Linked DNA regions of Arabidopsis thaliana. The protein of the gene in region 2 interacts with the protein of the main gene of each other region in a pairwise test. Each region holds a gene or a part of one and is shown on either strand. Other genes may lie near its edges.

Region 1 (3,755 bases), on a different chromosome or scaffold from region 2:
AAGTCAGTGGAGGTTTGAGTAACTGTTAGAAGAACCCTAAGCACTTTACTCTCCCCATTTTGCAAATAACAAGAAATCTAGAAAAAACATGAATCCATATTTGAATGAAGAAGATCTTTACCAGACATAACGAATTGTTCATATTACATTGCCTTAAATTTGCTGCATGGTCTGCCAATGGATCCCTAAGTGCCAGAAATAAATGTCGGATATGATTCACAAAATTCACATCTTCATTAACCTGCTCCAAACAAATACAAAATAAGACCAGATATGTATATATGTGCCATCTATTATAAGTGTGCAGGTGTTCTTCCTGGCTATTATTTTGTAACTGCGAACACCGCATCCAATTTTAAGATCTTACTTACTTTACACAAAGAGCCTAGCTGAACAACTCCACATGGACCAACAGCTACTACAAGAATGGTCTGCGGAGAAGGAAGAATAGATATTTTAAAAAGGAAAGTCTCCAGTGGCAAACTTTGAGGATGTTCTTGACAAGTATGTATAATAAAGCAGACAGAAAGAGCACTAAAGAAAAATCCAAATACCTTAATTCCAGCAGAAATTTGACTTTCCCAAACGTTATGAAACTGTAATTAAAAAAAGACATTTGGTTTAAAAACACGAAGAAAACAAATTTAATTTCAGATAGAAAGTCCCTAACCTCAAATGCTGAGTTACAGTTGTTATAATTTTCGGGAAATACCCATTGGTGTTCTCCAGAAACTGCAACTTGTCCTACAATCCTGTTTATATAGATATGATAACATAATTCAACAATAGACCCAAGATTGTTAACTATTGTAAAAGCTAACATCAAGCTCAAGGACACAACAAAAGCTTTGCATTATGTGGCTACTGTCAAATAAAAAAAGAAGGAAAAAGGGCACATCAAACTATAGGCATGATAAGAGTGAATCAGAGCAATATATTCTTACCCTTCCCCTAGAGAATAGACATGATAAGACATCTTTGCCACAGCTAACCCAAGGGGGTCATGTGCTCCATGCATATTCGTCCCATGATGGTCATAGTAAGCATCCTCCAAGGTAAGTACCCTACAGGTGTTCATTATTCAAAAAATTGAGAAACTATCTGGTCAACTAAAACACTAAAACATATAAAGAAATAGAATCCTGAACTGCACACAAAACTTAAAAGTACAGAAACAATCTTCAGACACTTAAACTACAATTGTTAACTTAAAGCTGCTGCATTTCGATATAAGGTTCCATATTTCCACTCTAGCAAGTTGAAGTCAATACACCTAAATCAATTACCACAGTTCTAACTCGTAGACAATTATAATGATCCACCACGCAAAGACAGTAAAGAGAATTGTTTAGATGACTCACATTCGAGATCCTCGATGATTAAGTTGCCAGAACACAGCATAGTCCCAGTCCGTGTTAAAGCAAAAGCTCTTCAGTATCTCTTGAGAAGTAGAACCCATTCTAAAGGGTAAACCTCAAAACCCCGGACTCAAAAACCACAAATCAGAACTCTAAACAGTTGTTTTATACTATCTCCTCCCCAACCTCTAATAAAAAAAAAAAGAAGCTTCTTTTGATTCGTTTTCGATGAGATACAAAGTAACTAACTACCTCTGTAAGAACCTCTTCCAGCTTGTTCCCTTCGTAAACCAGCTCTTGGTTTTATGGGCGGACCTACTTCATCTTGTGATATTTGCCTCTTACCCATCCCTCCCAAAGATACAAACTTTGAATCGGATTACGAATAAAAACCCAAGAAGGAAACTAATTTAGCCCTAGCTCAAACAAAAAACACCGAGAGAATCAGAATTTGAAACAGAGATAGATCTGCTGCAACTGCTACTCGCCATGGGAGAAATCAATATTGAAAATTCAAAAGCTAGAGAAGAAGAAAGAAGACAGTAGAAAAGGAAGCAGAGAGAGACAGAGAGATTGTAAGAAAGAATCGAGTTTAGCTTATGTCAGAAGATATTGATTAACTACAACAGTTGATCTCTGCATCACTCAGAGACACTAACAATCTCAGCCCAGAAATTCGCCGGAAAAAGGAAAGAACAGAGATAGAGATAGAGAGAGAGAGAGGGTAAAGGAGGCAGAGGTAAGCTAAAAGACGTTCCTTTTTAAAAGGGTGAAGGAGAAATCGAGCAAGTAAGCGGGTGAATCACGCACCATGCTCATTTTAGCAACGAAAGGCCAAGGATCGGTGTGCGCATGTTAACTATTCGAGTTAGTGGGATGGTGAGTGTGTGTGTGTTTGAGGGTATGGGATTTTATGGAGATAGGATCTCTCTCTCTTATAGAGTAATGGCCAGCAAAATGATTCACCAACTGAACTTTGCTTCCTTCTTTACTTTTTTTTTTACCCATTACTCACAAATTTATAAAATATTTTACACATTGCACTAATTTATCGTGTGTTTAATTACAAATTCATCACATTAACATCACAATCTTTTTTGTATTTCCCGCGGAAATTGTGCGCTAAACATTGTATACTCGGCTCGTTTACCGAAGTTGTAGGAAGTCTACTATGAATTGTATATCCCATGGGAGAAGAGAGTGATGAGGCTAGAGCTGCGGAATTAGTGGTAGGATTCTTAAAGGCAAGAGTTTGTGAGTCGAACCCAATTGTCTTTCTTGATAAGTTTGTATCATATATTTTATCTACAGAGTAGATAATTCGAATCTCGTATATGTATAAAGAGGTTAACCGTCTAGCAAAAATATTAGTGAACTATGTATATACTTTACTTTAAGGTGTCTATTTGTTTGATTTGACTCATACGTTGGTGGATAAGATTGTAAAAAAAAATGTTTGAGGAATTGCGTTTTCGAGGCTCATTCGTCTATAGTTTAATTTTTTTTTTATTTTGAATAAATTTTGAAGAGACAATTGTTTTTCCCATATACTATTAAAATATAATACTTTTGTAATAAAAAACCTATGATATTTAAAATGTTGTACATGTTTTATTACAACTTCCATAATAATTTTCCTTCTAATTCATAAGATAAAATATTCCGAAAATTTAGCAAGTGTCCCTCGTAGTCGTAGTGACAATCCTACTATATTATTTGGGAAGTACATTTTAAATATAACCTTAATTTTTGTAAGTAATTACATAGGTATGCCATTAGAAATAAAATTTTAAAAAGTAAATTAATTTATCTCTTTAAGGATTAAAAAGTCAAATACTAATTTAATTAATTAAATTAATTAAAAAACGAAATACAATATTAATTTCCAAAAATAATAGCCAATCAAAATCAACATATAAGATTTGATATCTAAATTTAATTAATTTAATTTAATTAGAAAAACGAAATAGATTATTAATTTCTAAAAAAGTAACCAATTAAAATCAACAAACTATATTTGGTATCTAAATTATCATATTAATTTTTTATTAATTATTATAGTTCACTTCTCATCTTTATATGATTCTATTTATACGGAAAAATAATATCATCATTATAAAAAAATAATTAGAGTTTTTTCGCATATGCCATAATTTGAATTTTTAAAAACAAATATAAACTGTTCAATACATGAAATAATATTATAACGGGTGAAAAATAGATTTAAGAAAACTTTCTACTGAGTAAGGGGACATAAATTTGAAATATTCATATTCAATTTCATACATATTATATTGAAAATTTATAATCTTATATATTACAATAGTTAATAACATATTAGATGTGATTCAATTTTTAATATAAGCTGAAAAATCCTAGAATTGACGGGTTTAGATC
Region 2 (3,755 bases):
TGGTGTTTGTTTTATGAGATTGTATAAGAGTTATCCAAAGCTGAGACATGGCCCAAAATAAGTCCAAGGCCATGTTTAGGCTCCATTTTGCATGGCCACTCCACTCATCTAACCAAAGCCCAGTCTCAATTATGTGAACTGAAATTTCTATGTTTTGTTTTTTCACACTGAAATTTCTATCTAACTGTCTTTCTTTTAACATGTTTCAATGATTTGCTTCCGAATAGAACACATAATAATTGTTTCCTAAAATTTTAAGAATTTTGAAGTACATAGTAGGCATTTGGGTCCACTGATCTCACACGGCAACGACTATTCTCAAATCTCATATCACATCAAAATAAAGAAAAAAGATTCAACGAGAAATTAAAATCTTTAGAAAAAATGTTCCAAAAAGAAAAAGAAGTCATCAAGGCAATTAAGCACTTAATTCCCTGTGCATTTTTTTAATCATTCACTTGCGTCTCTTTCTCTTTTTCTTTTTTTTTCTTCTTTCACCAAACTTGCTTACCTCTTTATTCGTTTTCTTTTCTTTCTCCTATGATCATGGAATTTGGTGGATGCTCCAACGTTTTTCACCTCAATCACTTATTAAAATATCATGTACAATAGTTCGTAATTATATATGAAAAAACGAGTGGGCTAAATTGGTGTTTTATAAGCCACGTCAAAAATATTGTATTATTTAGCTAGCTACTAAACTAGTCAAATATGTTACAATGTATATAGTTCAATTTGTATCGCGTCATCGTAAAGACATAAATGTTCCAAATCATCCCACCCACACACCTAAAAAGAAAGGTTAATACTTTAAAAATAATGATTATAGAAACCACCAAAATGGTTAAAAACTCACTTCCACTATTTGGCTCATAATTATAAAGAAAAAACGTTGCCCCCCCCCCCAAAAAAAAAAAAAAAGTTAAAAAGAAGACGAACATATAATGGCTTTACTTTAACGAACTACTAAGAAATTCTCACGTTTATGATATTACATAATTATTAATTTATGGCTTGAAATTATGGATCGCGAGGGTTTGCCATTATACATCATAATTACATATATTCTACGTTCCACCTCCTCTACTCCTCGTCCCATTGCAACCATCCAAACTAATAAAAATATTTAGATTATTTCTACCATTCAATTCAAAATTATATGCATTTTAAATTATACTATATGTATTTTCTAAAATAAATTTAAATTGAACTGAATTAAATAAATTTAATTTTTCTTTATAAAAAATATGTGTTAGAAATATGAATTGAAACTCATACTAAAGTGTATTTTAGTTTTAATTTCTACTAAAAAGAATAGTAAAAAATCAAAATAATAAGACTATATCCAATGTTCAATTCTATTTTTTCTTCTATTTTAAAATTGACTCTATTTTAAAGGTATTTTATTTCATTGTATGACTCTAAAATAAAGTTTTCTCTAAAATAGAAAACAAATATAGAGTAAGTTGTCTTTTGTTCTATTTATAGAGTAATCTCTACATTTTTCTTCTATTTTAGTAGTAACTCTATTCTAAAATATATAATAGAGTAAAATTAATTATATTTCTTCTTAAATTGAGTTAATATTAAAATAGAAGAAAATAAAGTTGGGCAATGGAGATGGTGTTATGTTTTGCTCAAATGAGTTTTTAGAGTTGATGTTCCAGCTTGGTTATCTAAATTTTGGAAGAGAAAGAAAAATGAAAAAAAAAAAAAAAAAATCTGAAATAAACTTGGTTGATGTGAACTGTTTTTTTCTTTTTCTTTTTCTTTTCCTGGTCTCCATTATTGACGGTAAATAAAGTGGTGGAAAAGGGTAAAATCGTCACAAGAAATAAGAAGATGTATAAAGCAATGTCACACACTTCAGTCTTCACGCCCACTTTTAGTGAATTTGCTAAAAATATATTTTCGAAATAATATTCCGCTTTCTCGTTTCTTATCCGTTCAAGCTTTCGTGAATTCGTCTCATAAACCTCTCCACTCTCTCTGGATCTCCACGCATAGATCTTCCTCTGTTTTCCTCCATGTACGCTTCTTGGATTCACTTAACCATTGTTTGTCGCTGTGCTCTCTCTGTTTTTTTATTCCTCGAAAAAGTTGAATTATCAGCGAATTTGATGCAAATGTGTTTAAATCGTTACCAAAACGGATAAATTCTTCTATTTTCGTAGCTTGGCTTGCAAAATCCAAGCTTTTAGTTCTTGATTTTGCTAAAATAAATTATACTTGTTCAATGCTGCAGAACATGTACTTATCTTCTTCTGCTGTTTATGGTTTCTCTATCCTTTCAATTGTTGTGAATGTTTGGTTTCTTTGGTTTGTTATTACTGGAATTTGATGAGATGATTCTCTGTTTTGTAACAGAATTCTTCTCTCTTTCTCTGGATCACAACAAAGCAGTGAATGAGAAAAACAGCATGAGTTGGTTCACAAGGTCTGTTGATGTGTACCGTAAAGTTGTGAGCTTGAATCTGTATTGCCGAGTTATTCTGTAAACTTTTTCTCTGCCTTGAAAAACCCCATCTTCAATCTTCTTCTAAATCCTCAGCCTTTTCTAAACTCTTTAATAATGGGATCCCAACGTTTCTACGTTTTCCACTGTGACCAGTATAGGATCATCTAAACCCTTAAAGCTTCTCTTTTTCTTCTTCAAGTCATCTGTCTTTTGGTGACTTACTCTGTTCTGTGGAGAAACACTAGTTTTACATTCGAGAGTTTGGAAAAGTTATTATTATGGTAAGTCAATCAGCTGGTCAAACAAGATTTCGAACATTCAAGTACGAGAACAACGGAGACTCTAGCAGACCAACAATTGTAGTGAGAGTTATTGCTTGCTTCCAACCGATGGATAATTGTCAGGTTTGTTGCAGCAAAAATGATATTATACTCTTTTTTTTGTCACATTTCATCTCATAGTCCTGTGTTTCTTATCTAACACTTTTGTCTCTGTTCCACTTGCAGGCTGAATACTTTAGACATATACTCAAACCAGTGACGTAGTTGGTTTGTGAGCTTGTGTTTGTATTTTTGGAGCTGGCACCTTTTTTCTTTTTGTCTCTACTTTCTTATACGATTGTTTCAAGAAAGAATCAACAAGTGTTGCGTTCCACACATTTGAGCAACAGCTTCCACAATCGGTATGCTAACTGAATCTTTGACTCTTTATGGATTATTGCTTTCTTGAGTTGGGCTACTAGTAGTTGTCTCATTCATAGCCATGTCCAATGATTAGTCCCTTTCCTTTTTCGTGCAGTATTGTATTCCTGTAAAGTTCCCTTGGCTTAAACTGCAAGAGCATGCCTCTTGATACCAAACAGCAGAAATGGTTGCCATTAGGCTTAAATCCTCAAGCTTGTGTCCAGGACAAGGCGACTGAGTATTTCCGTCCTGGAATTCCTTTTCCGGAACTCGGTAAAGTTTATGCAGCTGAGCATCAGTTTCGCTATTTGCAGCCACCGTTCCAAGCCTTATTGTCTAGATATGATCAGCAGTCTTGTGGAAAACAAGTTTCATGTTTGAATGGGCGATCTAGCAACGGTGCTGCTCCAGAGGGGGCACTCAAGTCTTCTCGGAAAAGATTTATAGTATTCGATCAGTCGGGAGAGCAGACTCGTTTGTTACAATGTGGATTTCCTCTGCGGTTTCCTTCTTCTATGGATGCAGAGCGAGGGAACATTCTCGGTGCCCTACACCCAGAGAAAGGGTTTAGTAAAGATCATGCCATTCAAGAAAAGATATTGCAACATGAAGAT

The links.
Region 1: the proteins of AT5G09460 (region 2) and CPUORF7 interact in binary tests that used the Arabidopsis thaliana proteins (3 or more experiments, as listed by UniProt).

The regions. Positions count from the first base shown.
Region 1 is NC_003071.7:13,337,382-13,341,136, reverse strand, and holds the start of CPUORF7 (transcription factor bHLH155-like protein), read right to left. Parts: upstream 2,051-3,755; 5' UTR 1,708-2,050; coding exon of another isoform or gene 1,611-1,707; 5' UTR 1,460-1,610; coding exon 1,362-1,459; intron 1,065-1,361; coding exon 945-1,064; intron 753-944; coding exon 671-752; intron 597-670; coding exon 555-596; intron 432-554; coding exon 372-431; intron 242-371; coding exon 122-241; intron 1-121. UniProt on the Arabidopsis thaliana protein: Transcription factor that may regulate root development.
Region 2 is NC_003076.8:2,944,962-2,948,716, reverse strand, and holds the start of AT5G09460 (transcription factor bHLH143), read left to right. Parts: upstream 1-1,877; 5' UTR 1,878-2,029; intron 2,030-2,367; 5' UTR 2,368-2,862; intron 2,863-2,964; 5' UTR 2,965-3,140; intron 3,141-3,256; 5' UTR 3,257-3,299; coding exon 3,300-3,755.